Linked DNA regions of Alligator mississippiensis. The main gene of each other region encodes a partner of the protein of the gene in region 2 in a complex. Links are inferred from orthologs where the notes say so. Each region holds a gene or a part of one and is shown on either strand. Other genes may lie near its edges.

The links.
Region 1: WASHC5 (region 2) and WASHC3 share a complex: the UniProt entries of both Homo sapiens proteins name them as parts of the WASH core complex. The link is inferred for Alligator mississippiensis from reciprocal best matches to the Homo sapiens genes WASHC5 and WASHC3.
Region 3: WASHC5 (region 2) and WASHC1 share a complex: the UniProt entries of both Homo sapiens proteins name them as parts of the WASH core complex. The link is inferred for Alligator mississippiensis from reciprocal best matches to the Homo sapiens genes WASHC5 and WASHC1.

The regions. Positions count from the first base shown.
Region 1 is NC_081827.1:107,401,220-107,408,429, forward strand, and holds the start of WASHC3 (WASH complex subunit 3), read left to right. Parts: upstream 1-4,175; 5' UTR 4,176-4,235; coding exon 4,236-4,286; intron 4,287-7,139; coding exon 7,140-7,210. UniProt on the Homo sapiens protein: Acts as a component of the WASH core complex that functions as a nucleation-promoting factor (NPF) at the surface of endosomes, where it recruits and activates the Arp2/3 complex to induce actin polymerization, playing a key role in the fission of tubules that serve as transport intermediates during endosome sorting.
Region 2 is NC_081826.1:19,248,425-19,255,894, reverse strand, and holds the start of WASHC5 (WASH complex subunit 5), read right to left. Parts: upstream 3,025-7,470; 5' UTR 2,965-3,024; intron 1-2,964. UniProt on the Homo sapiens protein: Acts as a component of the WASH core complex that functions as a nucleation-promoting factor (NPF) at the surface of endosomes, where it recruits and activates the Arp2/3 complex to induce actin polymerization, playing a key role in the fission of tubules that serve as transport intermediates during endosome sorting.
Region 3 is NC_081827.1:115,294,773-115,302,861, forward strand, and holds the start of WASHC1 (WASH complex subunit 1), read right to left. Parts: upstream 3,061-8,089; 5' UTR 3,034-3,060; coding exon 2,955-3,033; intron 2,936-2,954; exon of another isoform or gene 2,822-2,935; intron 1-2,821. UniProt on the Homo sapiens protein: Acts as a component of the WASH core complex that functions as a nucleation-promoting factor (NPF) at the surface of endosomes, where it recruits and activates the Arp2/3 complex to induce actin polymerization, playing a key role in the fission of tubules that serve as transport intermediates during endosome sorting.

The DNA.
Region 1 (7,210 bases), on a different chromosome or scaffold from region 2:
AGTGAATCCATGCTGACTGTTCCTAATCACCTTCTTCTCCAAGTGCTTCGAGATGGATTCCTTGAGGATCTGCACCCTTGTGTGCCTCCCATCCAGCCCCATGGACTTGTACACATCCAGCTTTTCTAAACAGTCCCTAACCTGTTCTTTTGCCACTGTTGACTGCTCCCCTCCTCCCCAAACTGTGCTGCCCAATGCAGTAGTCTAAGAACTAACTTTGCCCATGAAGACTGAGGAAAAATAGGTATTGAGTATATCAGCATTTTGTGCATCCTCTGTCACAAGGTTCCTCCCCCATTCAGTAAGGGACCCACACTTTCCCTGATCCTTCTCTTGCTATCAACATACTTGTCAAAACCCTTCTTGTCACCCTTCATATCCCTTGCTAACTTCAATTTCAATTGCACTTTGGCCAGTGGCGTACCGTGGGTCTCCTGCACCCGGGGGCCAATTCTTACATTTGCACCCCCTCCCTCCCCAGTCCACGGCCAATCACCGAGTGAGGAGGGGGATCCCCCAGGGGTCAATCACCAAGCCTGGAAACCGGAAGTGCCGGTGCGGGGCCAAGTTGCCTCGACCCCCACCCAGCCAGCACCCAAGGACATGCCCCGCCCCCCGTCAGTACACCACTGGCTTTTCTCTTCCTGACTTCATCCCTGCATGCCCAAGCAATGCTTTTATATTCTTCACTAGTTATTTGTCCAAGTCTCCACTTCTTAGAAGCTTCCTTTTTGTGATTTAGTTTACTGAAGAGTACCCTCCTAAGCCAAGCTGGTCTGTCATACTTGCTAGTCTTCCTGTACATCAGGATGGTTTGTTCCTGCACTCTCAGTAAGGCTTCTTTAGAGTGCAGCCTAGACTCCTCTTCCCCTCAGACTGGCTTCCCAGGGGATTCTGCCCAGGAGTTCCCTGAGCGAGTTGAAGATGCTTTTCTGAAGTCCAGAGTCCTTATTCTGCTGCTCTCCATCTTTCCTTTCTTCAGGACCCTGAACTCAATCATCTTGTGGTCACTGCTGCCCAAGTTGCCATCCACTACTACATTCCTTATCAATTCTTCCCTGTTCGTGAGCAGCGGGTCAAGAAGAGCACAGCCCTACTTGGCCGCTTCAGTACTTGCACCCGGAAGTTGACCCCAACACTCTCCAAAAACTTCCTAGAGTGCCTGTGCACTGCTGTATTGCCCTCCCAGCAGATGTCAGGGTGATTGAAGTCCCCCATGAGAACCAGGGCTTGTGATCAGGAAACTTCTGCTAGCTGTTTGAAGAAAGCCTCATCCACCACTTCTTCCTGGTCTGTTGGTCTATAGCAGACCCCCAACACAACATCACCCTTGTTGCTCTCTCCTCTTACCCTAACCCAGAGGCTTTCAACAGGCCTATCTCCAGTTTCATACTGGATCTGTGAAGAATCATATGGCTCTTTCACATACAGCGCAACTCCTGCTCCTCTTCTCCCCTGCCTGTCCTTCCTGAACAGTTTGTACCCATCCACAAGTATCTTACATATAAATTGACAAATGGGCCACAGAAAAAAAATCATTACATCTGTCAGTCAAAAGATATGAAAGACAAAGACTGAATCTGCCTTCGTGAAACACAGATCTGTGAAATGCCAAATATATCTGAGAAAAATAAACCACCACTACCATAGAATTGATTCTTGCCATGGAAGTCCAAAACATGAGAGCAGTAAAATTTTTGTAATTTTCCAGATTATATAGACTTTGCTGCAAATGGCTTGGGAAATGGACATCCTCTAATTTCAGGAAAGGAATGTTTTATTTTTCTGAGTCTTTGTACCAGGAATTGGTCATTAAATGTTCACAGAATATCTAGGTTTTCCAAGGTCAGAAAAGGTCATTGTGATAATTTCGTCTGAACTCCTGTATAACACAAACCAGAAAATTCCACCCGGTAAGCCCTGTATTGCTCGGGCTGAGTTCTACCAGATCTTCTTAAACTCTTCAGGTTGATGATTTCTTATGCAAAGTCATGACCCCCTTTAATTTATGATAAAAGTAAAAGTAAAAAGTATGTCAGTGAGAACAGTGAATTTATACAATTTATCTGGGCAAGGTTGTTTCAAATAAATTTGTTCAAGGGCAAGTGTGTAGGAAGTACAGGAGTGAGATTTTCTTTACATTAAGTTGCAGCATTTTTTTTTCCAAGACCTCATGGCCTATCTGACTTTCTTCAAGAGTTGTGACCACTGGTTGAGAAACCATAAGCTACAGCAGGGGTGTCAAACTCAACCTGTGCCACAGGCTGAATGTGGATCCATGGGACAAGTGGTGGATGTGGCAGGGCTGGAGGCAGCAGCAACACAACCAACAGTTGCAGAGGTGATGGGGCAAATGGCCCTTTGTGACAATTAAGGACAGTGCAAGTGGTGGTGACAGTGGACCAACTGACTGGGGGGCAGTGTCAGCACAGCCCTCCCTCACCCATATCCAACAGCGCCCCCAATTCTGTTGTAGGCCCTACTCCCCACTAACCACGTCCTCAAATACTCTGGCCTGTCTCTAGACAGATGGAACAGTTCTTTGGGCCAGACCTGTCCTGCAGGCTGGATGACTGACACTCCTGAATTAGAAAGACATCCCATCTTGATTTGAAACCTTTGTGATGGAAATTGTTCCAAACATTAATTAAACTTCACTTTTAAAAATGTGCACCTTATTTCCACTTCCAAGTTGTCTGGCTTTGACCTTCATCCTCCAGATCTTGTTACAACTTTGCTAAATTTAAGAGATGTCTGCTTTCAGACATCTCCTGCCTGATGACTACAATCAAGTCTCCTCTTAGCCTGATTTTGGATAAAACAGACCAAGCTTCTTGAGCCCTTTCTCCAAGGCAGTTCTCCAAGACATCAGAGCATTCTGACAATTCTTTCCTGAACTCTTCTTCTATTTTCAACCCTTTTAAAACGTGGAGACAGCAAAACTGGCCAGAACGTGCCAGTAACCATTACACTGACACTATACAGGAAGACAACACCACCTTTCTGCTACAGCTTAAAACTCCTCTGTTTAGGCATTCAAGGAATAGTGCATGAGGGTGTTCATTGCAGAACTACAGTGGGGGCTGGTGTTCACAAGTTATCTGAGCCCTTGAGCCCTGTCATTGCTCCTCAGGATGCAGCTCCACCCACGGGTGGATCTAGAATTTGGAACCGGGGTGAGCTGTGTCTTCACACATAAAGCAATACATATTTTCCACCAATTAAACTAGAAGCTTTACTAATGTGCTAGGAGCCCAGGGCTGCAGTATTCAGTTTAAGATTACAGTGAAAACAAATATAATTTCATTCAAATGAGTTAAAAACAATCTGCAGGGCTGTGAAATAGGAGCTTCCGGACAATGAGCAGATAACAGCAGAAGTGCAGAACAAAGGATTCAGAGATTCAGAGATGTTAGGGGCTGGAAGGGACCTCATGAGATCACCCGATCCAGCTCCCCCACACTTGGGCAGGAAGGCCTGCTGGGGTCATCACTTAACTGGTGGAACATCAAGACCATTAAAAAGAAGAAAGCAACCTTAACACTGGTGGCATGAAGAGTTTAGAAGGGTAGATTATGATGGGTATATGATGTATTTATTATTATTATTATTATTATTATTGAAAGGGTAAGTTATACCGAGCCACGAAGTCATTGACTCCCTCAGCGCTACCTGACTAGGCATGCTACTGCCACTGCCAAAAGGAATCAAAGGTCCTGGCAGAGGTGATATCTTTTGTTAGACCAACTAGATATTTGCACCAAAAAAAATTTTTTTTAATCTTTATTTGCAAGCTTTCAACACATTTGGGGTGGAGCAGGAATCAAAGGGGGTTGTAACGCACCCCCTGGATCTGCCTCTGCCCCCCTCCCCTCAGCCCTGCTGGCTTCACTGAAGCACCCCCTGGGGGAAAAGCGGGGGAATAAGAGGCAAGGGTTTGTTAAGGTGGCATCTTTTATTGAAACAACCAAATACCGCAAATCGAGTCGGAAAAACAAGCCCTGTCCTTAATCTCAGCCCCTTCAAGAGGTGGAGACACCGGAAGTGGACGCAGGTGGCTTTTAACCACGCCTGCTTGGAGGGGCGCCTGGGCGGAACTACCACTCCCATGATGCATTCCTCTAGCGGCTCCCTCCCGCGCATGCGCAGAGCAGGGTCGACCCAGTGGAGTCGGTTTTGCTTCCGGCAGGCGGAGGTCAGAGGCTGGAAGTCGTTTCTGGCCTCTGCCCCGGGGGATGGACGAGGACGGGCTGCCCCTGGTGGGCTCCGGCATCGACCTCACCAAGGTGCGGGCTCGAAACGCAAGTGTTCGTGGGCTGAAGCCCACTTCATCAGATGCTGCAGCGGGAGGTGCTCTTCTGCTCGAAACTGAGCAGGTTTCCCCATGTAGACTTTCGGGTGCAGACCATTTCAGGTGGCTGCGCCTGGGGTCCTCTGCGGGCAGGGCCTTGGTAGTCCGAAGGCAGGCAGGAGGCAGGGTAGATCAGGCACCTTGTAGGCTATGGGAAGCTCGTGCTGTAGCTGTCTGTGTGTTGTGGATAGCCTGTGAGGTGCCAGCGTACTCTGCCTTCTGCTCTCCTGCCTGAAAGACTAACCAAAGTGGGTGGACGGATGTGGAGATATCTGTGTGTATATCGCAAGCTTTTGTGGACTGAAGCTCACTTCATCAAAGCTGTGACAAGAGGTGCTCAAAGCTGAGCAGTGTAGATATTCGCAGGAGTTCAGGGCTGGAAGGGACCTGGTGACATCAGCGGGTGCAGCCCCTGCCCCGGGGAGTCCACCTGCTGTGCCTGGTGCCGTCTGTGAGCAGGGGAGTGTTGGTCTGCAGTCCAGGAGAAGGCAGGGTAGATCAGGCACCTTATAGACTAGCCAAAGTAGGTAGATAGAGATAGTACAAGCTATGAACTTCTACAGTTAAGAGGAGGATATTAACTGATCTGTTGATCTTGGAGTTCAAAGTGTAAGGGGCCGAACAAGGTGGTAGTTAAGAAATTCTCTTTAAAGAATCACTTTTGCAAAACATGCTTTCTCTTTCCCAAATGCCTCTTTTCTTTTCTACCTCTGAGCAGTTTTGGCACAAAAAGAGCTGTCAGCAGTAAGTCCTCTGCTGCAAAAGCAGAATGCAGCAGAATACTTCATCTATTAATACTTTCCATGTAAAATTTTACTGTTTAACAAAGTAGTATTTCTCAAGTCGGTGTAGCTTTTATTTAATTTCAGGGTTCCTTATGAACTGCGAAACAGAATGCAGAACAGTTCAGATTGATTGTGGGATCCAGTCATCTCCCAGGTGTTCCTGGGAGGTGTTAAACCCAAGAGAAATATAAATATTTGCTATCCAATTTTTTTGTGAAATTGCTTGGGTTGTGGGTAACACAATGCTAAACAGAACTACAAAAGTGGAGGAGTAACTGAATAGGTGATTCCTATATTTGTCTTACACTTTTCAACTTGTTAAATGTGGACTGCTTATGGAACCACCACTATTTTTGCAATAGTCTTAGATGAGATTGGGACATAATCATAGTATTTTGATTCAGCTTTGTGTTCATATTCTCTCATTTTTACCCAAAGGTTGAGACTTTACAATATTGTTTATATTGCAGTAGCATTTGCAGGTCCAAATCAAAGCCTTATTGTACCAGATGCTGTACATCTAAGAAAAACAGAAATTCAGTGCCTCAGAAACTTCCCATTTTGGGCCTAAGTAAACATTTGCATGAATAGTTAATCCTTCTCAAAATACATAGAACCAAATGGTTCACAAGGTTAGGTTTCTTAGCCCCCTGCGAAGTGGCTGGGATTATATACAGCTGCTGCAAACAGCAGCGTGGGACTGCTGCAGTACTCCAGCTGTGGGCCATGTCTTTTATTTGAAGGGGTACTGCTTCTCTCGTCATCTGCTTGGGACTGTTGATGAGGTCTAGCTGTGTGGAGAAGTGGCACCCTTTAATATAAAAGCTGCAGCAAGCAGCTGCACGTGTGTCCTTCACTTAGCCTTCTGACAGTCAAGTTGCTATCTGATGAAATGATGAGCTCTTGCTCACACAAGCTTATACAGTATAAACTCATAAATCCGACGTGCTTGGGGTTGAGCACTTGCTGGAAATTTGAAAACGCTGGATTTTTTTGAACTGGCGTGATAGCCGGTCGCGGAGCAGGGGCGAGGGTAGCGGCAGCTGGTCCCAGAGCAGCGGCCACACATGGAGCAGTGGCACACTGTGGTGAACGGCGGAAGCAGCCACCATCTACAGACTTCTCCCTCCATGTCCAGGAGGGTGGTGGGCAGTGCCAGATTTTTGATCATTCCAGATTTTTGGTATCCAGATTTATGAGCTTATACTGTACTTCTGTCATTCAGTTAGTTTATACAAGTGATTTTCAACCAGGTACCACAGCACCCTGGGGTGCCTTGAGATCCTTTCAAGGGTGCTGTGAGGTGCCACACAGCACTGCTAGGTGTGCAAGCATGCTTCACAGTATAAACCCAGAGATTTCGAACAGGAATCCATAGTATTAAAACAGTTCTGCCCTGCTGTGGTCTTTCAGAGTTCTTTGTAACAGTAGAATTGATCTACTGTTTTTCTGCATTGAAAAAATGAGTGAAAAATAAGAGATGGCATTTTCTGAAGGTGCCTTGTGTCTAACTAACAAAGTGCATCTCTACCCTGCCTTCTGCCTGAGTTCAAACTAACATGGCTAACAACTGCTTTCTATTCCCAATTGTAACTAGATACTAGTTTATGTAAATGTACTTAATTTCCCCAGTACTAAGACCCAAAGGGAGAGACCCTGATCCACTTCCTTTTAGAGTTAGATTTTTATTTTACTGTGTTTTACGATGACTTTCAGAAAATTGCTTTTAGGTTAAAACATTCTCTTTTGTGATGAAAACCTCTTTGTTTATTCAGGTGGTATTCCCTTGTCTCTACACTCACACTTAGAAGATTAAAATATTGATTGATTTTTTTTTTTTCATGTTCCTATATTCATGGTATAGTTAGGACAAATGATTAAAATATTTTCTTAGCCTCTTTCATATAAACTTCAAAATCGGGTCTTGAATACAAGGGTAAGAATTGGAAATGCATGTTTTCTGCGTGTAAACTTTGGGGTTTTTTTTGTTTTGTGTAACATAGGTTCCAGCTATTCAGCAGAAAAGAACTGTGGCATTTCTGAACCAGTTTGTGGTTCATACAGTACAGTTTCT
Region 2 (7,470 bases):
GAACTCTGTGTCCTCCAGAATCTCAGAGTAGATGGCTTATAAATAAAACACGATGTAGTCTATTTTCAGTGTGTACAAAACACTTAGCTAGCATCATCAGCTTATGAGAAACAGCTGCACAACTTCCAATACCAAAAGATTTTAGAACAACTGCTAAAGGACAAAATAGTCTCAGACGCTTATAAAGTTGAGTCTATCTATTCCGAACACCATTACAAAGTTGGTACTGTACAAGATGAGTTTAGAAACTGTAAAGGATGAGCATAGAAACTATTTTCATAGTGCACCATGACAGTTCGTCAATGTGGTTAAACACTTGGAGTGTATGGAAACTGAATGCAGTTCAGGGCCCTTTGTTTATTACCAAACCAGTATCTGTTTATCCCAAACTTCCGTATTATAGATAAGGTAACATGTCAGTAATCTCTCTTCAAATCAGAAATCTTATTTTACCCAGTAAAACAAAAAAAAGCATGACACAATCTCTTTCCATCATAGTTGACAGAGATGATTTACTGTACAACCCTTATTAACACGCTGGGTAACCACAATTATTCTATAGTACAGATAAATTAGCTGAGCCACAGGGAGGTTATACGACTTGTCTGAGATCTCACAGCAAATCTATGGCAGAGCTGGAAACAAAAACCAGCTCTCTGGAAACCTAATCTGCAATTGTTGCTAGAATTTTAAATAAATTATAGAGCAGAACGTCTGCTCAAATAACATTTTTTTGGCATTATTTCAGGAATAACAAATCAAAATGCAGAAGGAAGAACAAAATTACACCTTAAAGAGATGCATAAGCCTTCATAAGCAACAGCTCACTTTTTCAGATGCTACACAGCATATTTGAATAGCTATTCTATATGGTACAAGTCTACCTTGTGTTCTGCCTGACTTCAGACTAACATGACTAAGTACTTTGCCAAAATAAAAATACAGGCATTACCAAATTCAGCCCTAACTCATTTGTTTTCCCTTCATTTGTCTCTCAGCTCAGTCAATGGGAAATACACAAAGTCACTTCCACTTTTCTTTCTTTCCAGAAAGTCAGCTGTGGGAGTGGTAGTCTGAAGTCAGGCAGAAGGCAGAGCAGGGTGGCACCTTTAAGACTAACTGGCTGGAGAAACTTGAGCTTTTCACAGAATCATAGAAAATTAGGGTTGGCAGGGACCTCAGGAGGTCATCTAGTCCAGGGGTTTTCAAGCCCCAGGCCATGACCCGGTGCTGGGCCGCAAAGGGTTGGATGCTGGTATGCAGGAGGGCTGGCCCATCCTATCTTGCGGCAGTGGCTGCTGCGTTTGAGGTTTGCTCCCTCCCTCCCGCCCGCTGGGTGCAAGTGTCTTTACGGTTGTTCCGGTTAGAAGTTCTTGCCGTGGGGCCCTGCACGGTGTCACTGGAAGTGACTGCGGACTGGAAGTGACCGGCATGTGGCGGATTCAGCATAAAAAAGGGTTGGCTGCCGGTCTGCGGCGACTTCCAGTCCGCAGTTTGCCAGTCCTCAATCTAAAAAGTTTGGGACCCTTGACCCAACCCTCTGTTCAAAGCAGGACCATCCAACTATATCATCCCAACCAAGGCTTTGTCAAGCCAGGTCTTAAAAACCTCCAAGGGTGGAAAGTCCAGCATGTCTCTGGGTAACCTGTTCCAGTGCCGTACTACCTTTCCGGCACGAAAGTTTTTCCTTATATCTAACCTAAACTGCCCTTGCTGCAACTTGAGACCATTGCTCCTTGTTCTGTCATCTGCCATCACCGAGAACAGTTTAGCTTGGGGTGGGCAATTATTTGGACCCACAGGCCGCATAGGCAGTTTTGAGGAGCTGTTGGAGGCTGGTCAGCACCCACCCCCAACAGCTCACCAAAGCCAGAGTCCATGGGCCCTGCAGTTCCTCCCTGCCACTGCCACCACCAACAGTGTCTGCTAGCTGCTAAGCACAGTCCTGGCCCCAGCCCACCCCACGCCTGCTCTGAACTCACCCTGGCTGGAGCGGACCTGCTCCAAACCAGCCAGAAACCAAGCGCACAGCCCCGTTCCCGGCCCCGTCCCAGCCAGAGCGGACCAGCTCCAGGCCAGCTCACAAATGTGCACAGCCCCGGCCCACCCCACACCTGCTCCAGACCGGCCCACCTATGATGGACAGCAGCATCCCCGCAGAAGCGGCTACTGAGGATGGGGGAAAAGCAGCCGCCCCCCACTCTCTGCTGCCGGGACCGTCTTGCTGCGGCCGCCTGGACCCACACCTGGTGCCCAGCACCAGGCCGCCACTGCTGCTCTTCGTGGGCGGGCGGGCAGGCGAGCTGGAGCTGCACGCATGGGTCCTGGCTGGTCTGCTCCGGCCGGCGCAGGTGCACAGAGGGTGCGGGGTGGGCTGGGGTCGGGGCTGCGCACACTGGTCCCTGCCCGTCTCCCTGCGGCTGGTGGCAGTAACCAGAAGGAGCCACGCCAGCCACACTGCACGCCCCGGGGTGGCGGGACACGCGCCACGGGCCCAACAGCACCAAAGTCCCTCCACATCCAGCCTGCGTTTTGCCCGCCGCCGGTCTCACTCCATCCAGGGTTGTATTTTCAGTCAGTTCCTAAAATGTTTCTTCCGAGTTCACAGTTGGCACAGACCACGCCTGCTCCAGTTTGCACGGGCAGGTCCCAATTCACAAGCCCCGCTGCCCGGCCCCGTGAAAGGGGCAAGAGGCCTGGGACACGCGCCTTTTCGGGCGACAGCCTGTTCGGGGAGGCGCTTCACACACACGCGTGTCTCAGTCAGAAGACCTTCCCCGCCCGCCCGCCCGCCACATGCCCGGTCCCCCCCCAGGGAGCAGCGACCCCCAGGGCAGCTCGTCCTGGGGCAGCCCAATTTGGGGCCAAGACCTTTCCTCGCCCGCCCCGGTGTAGCCCCGCCCCCACCAACCGCCGTGCCCTGACCCCCCAACCGCCTCCAACCGTCACCCGTCCCGCACTCACCGCTCGCAGCGGCCTCCGCGGCCGGGCCGAGCCGGGCCGGGCCTCCCGTCACGTGAGCGGTGTCACGTGAGCGGACGAGGCGGGGCCTGCCGGCGCGGGCGCGGGCCTGGGCCGGGCCGCAGGTGGGTGCTGGGGGAGGGAAGGGAAGGGAAGGGAAGGGAGGGTCGTAGCCCCTTCCCCAGCCCCCGCCACTGCCCCCCGGCCAGGCCCCGCAGGCAACAGTTGAGGGCCTTCGTGGCACCCCGGGGTGCGTTGGGCTCCCCCTCAGTGGTGCAGACGGGGCTGCCAGGGCGGGTGTCCCACAGGACTCTGGCACCCGAGGCAGAAAAGCAGCTCTGTTATTTTTTTCGCAGGCACAAAAGAGGCAAAGCTGAGAGGCTTCGTTGTCGTCATCGTCATCTGAGGGGACTCGCGTCTGGAGCGGTGAGCGCCGCCGCGCCTTTGGGTGGGAGCGTCCCCTCGGAGTTCAGTGCCGCCTCGAAGATGTCGCGCGGAGCCCTTGGCGGCTCTGGACTCCCGCGGGAAACTCCCGCTCACCTCCGTGGAGCGCGAGGGTCTGCGGTTGCCGGTCGCTTCTGCGGAGCGTGAGCTGCCGGGTGAAGTGGGGCGGCCTGGCTTCGTGTGGGGATGGCCGCCCTGCGCCGCCTGAGTGGCGTGTGACAGGTTGGGCAGGGAGCAGAAAGCGGAGCAGTAGGTCAGACGGGGGGAGGGGAGTGGTACTTGGGGAGACCACAGAGCTAATTTGAGGCCTGCCTAGCAGAGTGGTTGGCCCCCGCTGATTTATTGTGAGAAAAGTCCTTTGTTATTTTAAACCATGAAGCCGGTGATGGGTTAAGCTGCAGCCCCCCCAGGCTCCCACCCTGTCACCGTTCCCTGCACAGCTCCTGGCTCTGGGCTTCCTGTCGCCCTCTGGCTTTTGCAGCCTGCACATCCCAGGGGGCAGGCGGTGCAGCTGGCAGTCAGTGTAGCAGGGAGCCCGCAGCGGGGTGCACAATCCGTGGGGGAGCTGCCCACACACATGGTGTAGCAAGGTGGGGATTACTTACTTGTGCAGTACAGTTTGGGGGTCCTCCTGCTGTGGCCCATGTGGTGTATGGCTGCTTGTGGCACATGTGTTTAAGAAAAAGTTTGTGCTTTGCAGAAGCTCTGGGCAGCTGTCGGAAAGTTTCTACCCAAAGGGAGCGTGCGGGACTCTTCCAGCTGAGTTCAGAGCTGGCTAAGGGGTCCTCACATGGCTCCTTAAAACCTAAAGCCTAAATTTTCCTTCCAAACAAGCCAGCATTAAGCAGATGCAGTGCTTTCTTTCTGCCTGCCAGTGAGTCACAACCCCACTGCCTTTGCTCTGAGTAAAGGCAGTGCTCACAAGCTTCAGCAGAGTAAAAGTGACCAAAATCTTGACAGTTGCCTTGCAGTCTTCCAGTGTCCTGGTTTTCTGAGTGGGCAGCAGTGAAACTGAAAACAATCAGGTCAATTCCGTTTTCATGAAACTGAAAAGCAGGAGCAGACCCGGGTTATTTACTAGGGAGGAACACCTGAAAATGAAATGAAATATGTTATGCGCATGGCAGCAGCAGATGAACAGTAGAGTAGGTGCTTATAAGAATGAATGGAACACCTTAGGCTACAGAAAAGGGATTTGTTTTTTAAGAGGTGGGGAAACACTTTCTAATAGCAAAGGTGATTTAAGCAATAGAATAATTTTTCAAGGGAGAAAATTGATGCAGTGTCCCTAGAAGTGTGTAGAGTATCACAACAGAGGCATACTTGTGAGCTGGTCTTCAAATTCTCTCTCTGTGTCATGTAAATCTTGTCTGAAGACCTTGTTTCTCAGTAGATGAGAAGGATGGATGGGAGGGGGGAGAGAGAGAGAATAAAGAATATATTTATCCTTTGTCATTAAAACAAACAAGCAGAGAAATGACTTAAGTCATGTTTAGAAACAGCTTTCCAAGCAAAGTGGCTGCTGAGACGTGAATAAAAACCCAGTGCTTTATGTGAAGAAGCAGCGTGTTAGTTCAATCTGGCTCTGTAGCACCTGTATGGATTGTGCACTTCAGCAGGGCTTTTCGGCACTTTTATCTAACAGCTAGAAGGATTCAATCAGCTAGTAGATAAAAGCACCAGAAAAAAACCCACCAGAGTGCCCAATTTATACAGACATTGGGCAATCTGGGGCAAACTAATGCAATGCCTCTTCTGAGCATGTGCTGTGCTCAGTGCAGGGGCGCTGTGAATTTGAAGTGCTGTTTTGGGGGGTCTTTTTGTTTTTTACATCTGTAAGCAGGCAGTGATGATTGGGGGAAAAGTACTTGAATCCCTTCAAGATTGAGCTGGAAAACTTTATGGATGGTTGACATAATAGGATAGGGAGTTGTGACTCAATCAGTTGGTGTGACTTGTGTTTGCAGTGCCCATGTTGAAATGCCTCTTTTTGCAGTGTGGCAGGTGCATTTCGTGGGTTTTGCTAATTGCCAGTTCAGCCAGGAAAGTTCTCACCCCCCATTCTCCTTGTAAATGCTCTTGGCTTCATTTTTGTTTTCCTTGCATTTATCTGAACACTGGAACGTTGGCTACAGCTGAGGTGCGGGTTTGAGTCAGGTGCACTGATGCTTCTGTTGTTATTTAAAAAAAGCCACAGAGTTTTATTCTTTTGCTCAGATGTATATTGATCTCCTAATTTAGACTCAGAAAGCAGTTTTTCCCTTAGGTCAGATTGGGACAGAGTGTGTTCATGCATCTCTATGCATATATGTGTGTGGTGTGCCTTCTGTAGCTTAGAGCTTGATTCCAAGGATCCTCTCAGCCTACATTAACTAATCACTTTTATATCTTTGTGGCAAGGTCTGGGGAGAACCCTAGTCTCCTCTGCTTTTACTTACAATAGGTTATAGGGTATTCTTAGCATTGCACATATTGTACCCTGTAGTTGATCTGAGGGTTTAAAGTAGCTTTTTAATAGAATTATTGCCTGCAAAAGCAGGGAACTGGACTCAGTAACCCAGGAAGTCTCCTTGATCTTCAGAGACAGGTGTTTTTTTTTAAAGGAACTCTTCCCGCCTCTGGTTTGACAGTCTTTTAGATTATATTGAATATAGTATTAACTACTCTTCTTAGGGGAAAAGAGAAGCTTAAGTTGTGCTGGACTGAATCTGTTGGAGTCTGAGCCTGCTTCTTTAAAGATGAGCAAGACATAAGCAAAAAGGGAAAGAGTAGAGCAGCAAAGATAGCTAGCACCAGAAAGTGCATTTTGCCTTACTTGCAGTTTTGCTGCTAGTAACTGACAGACACAGCTTATGGTTTATCAGCCACTTGAGGGCTAGGCAAATTTGTATGAGTACCAAGCTATTTGGTACTCATAGACTGCTTTTAGTTGTCTCTGGTTTTGAGGTCACAACAGTGTTTCAGAGAGACAGTTTTGGCTGGCAAGGCCATACTTACTAAAAAGAAGACAAAAAAAAAAGGAAAGGGTACACAGCATTGTGCCTAGCAGCAGGAAAGCAAGTCACAGTCCTGAAAGATTGTAGAGTCCTTGGTCTGGTCCCTGGCTTGCTCTCTCCAGGACACCTCAGAGTGAGGGCGATAAAGGTCCAGTCTTGGTGAACTTGCATCCTTGAGTCCCAGCAGATGGGGAGGTAGCATGACAATAAAGCTCAATTCTTATGGTCTATATGTCCTGCTGGCATCAGTGTCAAATTCTGGAGTGCCAAAAAGTGGGGGCTGTGTAGAATCGAGGGCTGGCAGATTGAGGCCCCCACAATGAGACAGGGAATGGGGTAGGAGCTGGGGCAGGGTCAGAGGTAGGCATTGCCCAGCTGAGGTGGGACAGTGCACAGGGGGCATGGAGGCAGGCGGCTCCGTTCCGCGCTTGCCCGTGCCTCTGCCCCGGTCCCACTCCTTCCTTCGCTGTGGGACCTTGATCTGCACCCTCCATGCTCCTTCCCCCACAGACTTACTGGTCCTGCTCTCCAAGCTGCCAGGCTGCATATCGGCAGTTGGATCCTTATCGGCTGATATGGCTGATTAATAATTGGCCATTGGTATTGGCCAAAGAAAACTTTGCAGTGCATCCCTAAATTTAATGCAACAGGCTTGGTCTTTACTTTGGTCTTCTTAAAAATATAGGACTCTTCGCCACAGATCTATGCTTCACTCCCTGTGGTCAGAGCATAGTGAAATGAGAGCTGGTATTGAGGGTGGCTATTGATTAATGGTGAGCAATTGAACAAAACTGTAGGATCAAGCTATCCCATTACAGGTGGGAAGTTGCATCTTGTGTGGCAAAAAGCATACCAACAGAGAGAAGGCAGTAGGCCAGAGCTGGACTATAGTAAGTATAGCAATGGGAATTGAGATGTTCATCGGGTAGCAAAAAAGACAAATGTTATTCATGTGCCCCAATGACCTAGTGGCACCAAGCATTACTGAATGACTCCTTTGCTGAGAGGGAGAGAGAGAGAGATCTGTCTTATTTCTTTCTTTTTTTTTTTCTTCAGTGAAGGGATTAGG
Region 3 (8,089 bases), on a different chromosome or scaffold from region 2:
AGTTAGCTCTTTCTGCTTCCCAAACAAGTTGAAGGAAATGACCAAACATAATTAAACACATATCATATCAAGCAGACTGAAAGACCCCCGGTCATCCTTTCCAAATCACAACAGCTGAAGCAGAGCATGAGAGGCTAGTAATACCAGAACAAAATCCATGCAAAGGGACACGACAATGCAGTAAGTTTCTTGAAGGAGACACCAAAGTTAGTTTGCTTCTAGACCTTGCAGGGGGCCAAGGAAATGATTTCTAGTCTGTTCCAGAGCAATCCCTGCGCTCTTGGAAGACCAAATGTTTCAAGGAGTTGAAACAGATACAGAGCCTCTCAGTTTCCCTTTTTTCAAGACACTTTCACCAAGACTCCAAGTCATTACCAATGATGGCTGCCAGGCAGTCTAAGTGAAAGGGGCAGACGCTTCCTCAACCTGACAAAGGGCTTTTGTGCCTAAAAGCTTGCTAAGAAGAATTTTTCCAACTATTTGAGTGGGCTAATAAAAGATATTGGATTTACCCAAAGAACTTTGTCTGCCTAGGGGCTTGTGGTCTCACTCCAGCCTGTAGCTGAGGAACATTTACATCATGTGAAGCACAATGACAGCATGCGCCAATGGGAACCTTGGTTGGTACAGCAAAAAGACAAATGGGTTGGGAGAACCAGCTTATTCTTCCTTAAAGTACACAAGTTTTACTATTTGAAGAACAATTGCAGTGCTGTAGGAGAGATAACGGCACTGAACATACCAACTATTCTGCCAGGAAAGGCTCAAGCATTGTAAAAGTGCTCAGCATTTAAGTCACTTTATAAAACCTCATCACGAAAGGTTTGTGCACGTGGAGAGGAGGGAGATGATGGACTGTGCTTAGTACTAAGACTCGACAGCCCTTTTTTTTTTTTTTTTTTTTTTACAGTATTCATTATGCTGGTCAGCAGTGCCCCTCTGCATACACAGCCAGGTTCAATACCACTGCAATTTTATCACCGTTGGCTGACTCATTCTTCATTTTGAACATCAGAGAATTTTAGTACAATAAATGTATTTCACCACAACAGCATTTGTGTTCATTTTACAAACATTACCAATGCATTTTTATTTGACAAATAATTGCCCCTCCACAGCTAACCGTGACAAGAGCAGTGTGTATTTTAGTCAATGGTTTGAAATAGTCCTTTAAGCACAATGCACATTTAACATCAAAATTTGTATTGTAACGTGTGTGTGTGTGTGTGTGTGTGTGTGTGTTGAATAAGAATTAATTATTTTGATGCAATGCAGAAATAAAAGTTAAGTTTTGCATAATCTAGTGGCATTCTTCCTATTAGCTGACTGGTTAGGAGCAACTGCTTGACATACAGATGAATAACTATTCTGGAAAATTATACATCACAATGCTAATGCAAACTAGCATCTGACTTTCTGGATAATGACAACTTAACTAGCTCACAGCCTGCAGTCCCTTCCCTTGTCCCTCTCTACCTCCCACCCTTCTGGGCTTTTCCTTGGTAGACTGCATTCCTGACAACCTGTTTCAGATCGATTTCCTTCTCTACTATGATGAACATACACAAATCACAATACAAATACCCTTCAGCTTTCCTCATTCCAGGGGTTCCGCAAAAGCCTCACTTCCCACACACAAACTCCAACTCAAAGCTGTGACACCGCATTGCACCCACTATAGGGTTTAAAACAGTAGACTTCACAATTCATTTCTAAGGAATGAAAAATGGGATGTAACAAAGCATGTTCAAAATTGGTCATCCAACCAAACAGGTTACACTGAATGAATCTTAGCACTATTTCATATTACCAGGCATCTCTAAGGCTCAAAGAAATCATAGATATGCCAAGTCTATCACAGCTAGAAGGCATTTTGATTCTATGTAAGACATGTTAGAGCTTAAAACAGTTTGTTAAATACACTCCTAGTGCCCTGTCCATAGCTCTTTGCTTGCCTCAGATCCAACAGGGAGGTAATGTTTTAGTTCTGTGGCACCTTTTGTGCTGGAAAGTCCCTTCAAAATGTTCCCTATCCCCAAGGAAATGTGATCACTGTGCAGGAGATGATAGTGCCTATGGCTCTGGGGAGAAGGCCAAAAGCCTGCTGAATGCAGCGGTGCCAGGCACCGGGTCAGTCTGAGGCACTTAACCGGATTCGCATTCTCAACCTCTATGTCTCCCCTTCCTAGAATGAGACTCTAGTTTCAAGGGTTGTAAAGAAAAGCCTTCCAGCCTGGAGGCAGGCATGAGCCCAGGCGGCACTGAGGCAGCGTTATCATCCACCTGTCCTTGAAGACCGCCTGGACCTGCTAGCTTGGAAGGCATCCTCCCTTCGCTGCAGTGTCCCAGTATTGCTGCCACATCGCTCCCTCGCTCTTCCATCAGAGCAAGGGGCACAGGCACTGAGACCCTCAACCCCTCCCGCTTGCAGAGGGAGAGACCAGGACGCAGAGCGCCAACGCCACCTGCCCAGGCAGAAGCAGGGCACTGGTCTCCTAGCATGAAGGTCACTGCTGCAGCCTGAGAGCTGGCCCTTCATGAACCTACGTGGCATGAAGGAGCACGGGCACAGGATGACTGCGTGAACAAGGAGCCAGGGCAGCCGTACATGGGCCTGACGTATGCCCACAAGTGCCCACAGGCATGCGCGCCACCACACACCCAGGCGTGTGCACACATGAACCCACGCATGCTCGCACACATGTGCATGTTCTCACGCACCCACGCATACCCACAAACATGCTCGTGCACACACGCACCCACGGGTGCTCAGACATGCGCGTGTGCGCACGCGGGGGCACACGCGCACACGTGTGCACACCTGCTCATCCTGCCACGGGGTCTTACACCGGCGGCAGCAACAGGCAGCGGCCGGGCCAGGGCGCCCCCCGCAGCGCAGGGGGCCCAGCCGCCCGGGGGAACGCAGCGCCGCACCTCCTCTCGCAGCGCCTCACCTGCCACGGGCGGGACACGCCCCCTCCCCCGCTGCTCGCCCCAGGACCCGGCGGGGAAGCTACCCCCTCCGGCGTTCATTCACTTCCGCCCCAATGAAGCATCACTTCCGCCCCTACTTGGCATCACTTCCGTTTGCGCCTAGGTCCCGCTTCGTTCTAGAACGGTTCCCTCCTCTACAGGCAGGCAGCGTCCCGCAGTGCGCAGGCGTGATTTGGAACGCGGCGGCTTGGCGGTTGCTGGGCTATTCTGCCAGGGGAGGGGGCAGCTTGCTAGTGGGAGCATGGGGCAGGCTGGGGCTCTTTGCCCTGGGCAGCTGCATCGCCCCCCCTCCCCCCCCCCCCCCAGCAGTGTTGCCAGCATTCACGAGCTGGCCCCTGCAGGGAGCAAGGGTCTTATGGGTTTTGTGGCAATATTTACTGTACTGAGCCCATGCAGCAAGTGCTATGGCTGCTCCTAGTGCTAACACCTTGAAGGGCCTGAGAGGACCACACTGTGCTCCAGAGCCGCGCGTCCCACCTGCTGCCTTCCTCCACAACTTGGGAATGCTGCTGATGCGTGCCTCGAGGTGCACCGTGGCCATACCAACTGCTGGCAAAAGTTCTGCCAAACTGCCTGTGCACCTCTGCACGCTCATGGCACACAGTGCAGCTCTGCTTTGCACCGTGACCTCTGGAATAGCTGGTACCCAGTCCAGGAGTATCTATCTACATGGTGGCAGCGGAAGCCTCGCTCTGTGCTGCAGAGAGGCTGTGCCACCGCAGACTGGCTTTGAGCCAGAACTCGGGAGTTTTGCTGGCAGAGCTCTTGTTGTGGAGAAGAGTCACCTGCCCATGCTTCCCTATCGTAACACCCTTCTGCTTAGCTGTAACGAAAGGGAAGGAGGTCACGGTCCCCTTGGCCTGGTTGCAACCCTCAGGCTGACAGCTTCTACCTTGACAGGACGTCCCTTATAACTAGGGTAGCCATACATCCCAGTTTGGCTGGGACAGTGCTGTATTTTGTAGGTCCTCTTGGCATCCCAGCCGGTTGGTGAAATTGAAACGAAAGTCCTGGAATCGGCCACCTAACATGATTGCTTCTTTCTCTGCTGACTCTACTGAGCATGAGTATACAGCAGCAGAGCCAGCCTTAGGGAAAAGGGTGCCCTGGGTGAACTTGTACTTTGGAACCCCTTTCCTCCCTCCTCCACCCAGGTCAGCAGCGCTGCTGCAGGCTTGGGCATGCGGTGCAGTCCAGAAGGAAGGTAGGCAGGCATTGTTGCTACTGTGCAGGAGCAAGGTGTGCAGACTGCCTCAGGTACCACCCGGCCCACACGTTCCCTGCTTGGCTCCTGAGCAGCATCTGGAGGTGCAGGGGGTCAGCTAGAGGTAGGGGAGCAGGCCAGGCTGGGCACTGCTCCAGTTTGCCCATCTTGCTCCAGCACAGCAGCAACCTGCCTGGCACACCATGCCACTCTTTCACTTGGTTTTCTTTAAAATAATATGGTCATCATGCCTATAGCCATCCTTTGTGTTTACATTGCCAACCTTGCTTCTGGATGCCTTTCTGCTTCTCTCTGTCTCAGCTTTGGGGAAAGATGAGAAAGAAGGAATATCTGGCTTGTGCCTTTGCCTCATCTCCCACCAATGGACCTGGGTGATATTATACTGCCTTTTAAAAGTGATGAACATTTGTTCAAATATTTTAATGAGTTTTCATTGGTTATGCTTGCTCCCTTTTCACATAGACACAGAAAGGAAACCTATCTGAGCAAACAGTGTTTGCTGGCACAAACATTCTTGAAAACTGAATCTCAAAGCGGTATGTGCAAATATTAATCATAATGAAGTTTGAGGGTCCATGTGCAAGTCATCCTGCCAGAGGTGTCTGCATGCACATCTAGGATCAGAAACAATTCCATGCGTCTTATCTAACTGGTTACAACTTAATCAGTGCTATTTGAATAGCAAAGATTAAGTACTACCAAGAATGGTTGATGCATAGATTTAAAGCCAATGCACAGAAAGCAACACCCCCCCCCCCACACACACGGATTACTCAAATAATTTCAAATTGTGAATATATTTAAGGAAATCATGATCTGCTCATGCATATTCACAGGGAAAAGGCTAAATTCATTACATAAATTACTTACTGCACATTTTTCACACTGTTCCACTCATTTGCGGTAGGAACCATTGTCATGAACATTTGTTGCAGGCTAAGGCAGAGAGCATTATTAAATATGATGAAATTGCAAAGCAAATTAGCAGCCAGCAGCCTAACATTTCATGAGCCCACGAGAGGTTAAGTGCAGTGCTGGTGCCTGTGAAGTCTTAATGAGGGGACCAGGCCACTGACCTGTGTAGAGCTTAAAGGGTACTGAAAGGACAAGGAGATAGGGCACAGGGTGAGACTGGGTGAAAATCTCGGAGACGAAGAAGTTATGAGAAATGTAAAAGTCTGCCAGAAACTATGCAGAGAAGGAAAGCAATAAGACCTAGCAGAATCTGAGCAAGGAGCATGTGTGTGGGTGTCAAGACCTGTCAGAAACAGAATAGGGGAGCGGATGTAGAAGCAGCAATCCAATCTATTCTGATCCATTTTTATTTATATACTGCTGATGGAAAGCCCTTCAAGTGCTTTACAATTACTCAGATAAAAATTCAATTCAATACACTCTGGAAATTCAAAGCAAAGAGAGAGGAGGTGGGTGCTGGGTTGGGGCAGCCCCACAGAGAATGAGAGAAGAAAGGTAGTAACAGACCTGCTGCAGGCAGATGGCAGAGAAAGAATTAACAGAATTGGGCTGATAAAATGAAGACTGAGAACCCCAGTATGCCCGGGGGGGGGGGGGGGGGGGGGGGGCAAGAGAGCAGTAAGACTGGGGTCTACTAAGAACTGGTAGCAGGATTGGCATAATCCCAGTAAAACACTGGTGGCAGGTAGGAAGTAATAATATATTTATCTCCACTACTGATTATGTATCAAAAACCTACCCCCTGGAGACAAGGCTCAGGGAACTGGAAGATATGTTTGGACTGGGCCATTAAAAAAATCTTGAGGCAAATGAGAAAAGCAGCTGTTTTACCAGCATTTAATTCAGCTAAAAAAGCAAGCTGACAGGGCTCACATCTGTCTTACTTCATCTCTCTACCCACACAATTTGTCAGCAGATAGAGTGGCATCACTCTCAGCCAGTGAAACAATGGATAAAAATCCATATCTCTCCAGAACAATTTTCTTTGACTGTTTAATGCTCCTGAGGACAGGACCCAGTTACATAAACTGGTACAGAGAGCTGATTAATCCAGCTACAGGCTTCATTCTTCCTGCCAGTACTCCGCATTGGCAAATTTGAGTAAACAAAATAAAAATTGGATAGTATATTGTTCTTTTCCCTGATTAAGGGCATAGTACTGCCCATTGTTTCATAAAATAGGTAAGATATAGAGAGCTCCCTCTCCCTGTGCAATCAACAGGGCCTACTTTTTCTAGAGTGCAAGGAGGTAGGTCTAGCTAATTTGCCAAACCATGCATCACATCCCTGAAAGGGCATTGTCTGTAGGCTAGAGAGTATGTCTGGGCTGGCGTTCAGTCAGCTACTGCACAAGATGACACCCACAGGACACAAGAAGAGCAGGCCTACTATTTGTAATTTGGGGAGCTGTAAATAGCACCTAACACAGTGCATTGTGACATGCTTTTTCAGCCATCTCACTGCTAGTGGCAGAGTGCCCTTAACCTGTTTAACAAAACCAGATGTTTGGCCTGATTCTCCAAGTTGGCTGTCCTTATGCTTTGCCTGCTGTGGCTTGTCAGAAACAGAAGCCTAACTGGGCGCAAGTGGCTGATCTGGAGAAGCTAAAGGGGCACTTAGATTTCCCCATGCTTTTTCAGTACTTTCAAAGCTCTCGCTATATAATTATCTACAGGTCTTAGTCTGTCTGCTGGAGTCTCCATTACAGTAATATTTAAACACTTTCACAGAGTCCAGAGTACTTACAATAGACTGGGCTTTTTCCCCCTGTAAGCTTGACTCACTACTGATATCTATACAGAAATCCATCATTCATTTATACTTCTATCATAGACATAAACTCATGTTTAAAAAACAACACTTGCAATTCATTTGGACAATTTTTCATTTTTGTGAAACTGTACCCTTAATCTAGGAAGTTTTTTCCTAGGTAAAAAATATCAAATAGCTGAGCACCTTGTTTAATTTGTTCTTTCTGGTGCTGCAATGTCCCTTAGCAAACACAGCCACATTCAGCAAGTAATACATACTTCTGTTTTCTCAGCTGAAAAATATGAATAATATTGATCAACCTTTGAGTTCTGACCATGAAGAATCTCCATCTTTGGAAATTTTCAAGCGTAGATTGCACCAACACTTGGCTGGGATGGTTTAGTTAGGGACAATTTTCCTTGAGCAGGGTACTGGACTAAATTCCCTTTCAGTCCTACTTTCTTGTATCCTATGAGATCTTCAGCCTGAAAAGTGCCAAGTGCTATTGTTATACGTTGCACCAAGTTTTAATAAGAGAACTCCAGCAACTGAAAAGAAGGTGTGGAAAAGGAAGGTAAGCAGAACTTTGGGTGTGTGCAGGTACATGTATTTTTTGGAGGTGACTCAAGTTTCTCCTGATCTGTTGAATACCACTTGCCAAATTGTAACAAGCTGATTCTCACCTTTGCACAGGGTCAGGCCAAAGCCAGAAAACAGATCAGCTTTAACTGCAGAATTCCCTGCAATTTGAAATTTCTTCAGATCTGAGGTTTGGAACTGAACTAGCCTGATAGTCAGGGATGTTTGGACCTCAGGCTTTGATTCAGGCCCAACACTAATTTTCCCCATACGGTAACAGACATAAGAATGGCTTACAATAAATGGGGAGCTCTTCCTAGTTCTGTTCCCTAATCAGTTTTGGATAGGTAGCATTTCCCTTTAATGCATAGTATTTCTCAGTACATGCTTCCATAATAGTGGGATCACACAACACTAAACAATGTGTCATATTTGTCAGGAAATAAAACAAAATTTTAAAAGGTGCCACAGGTGCTCATAAATACACATCTGCACCACTGAGGACACCCAAACAACTAACACTGATGCAAAACGGGGTCACTCCTTCCCACCATAACCTACCTC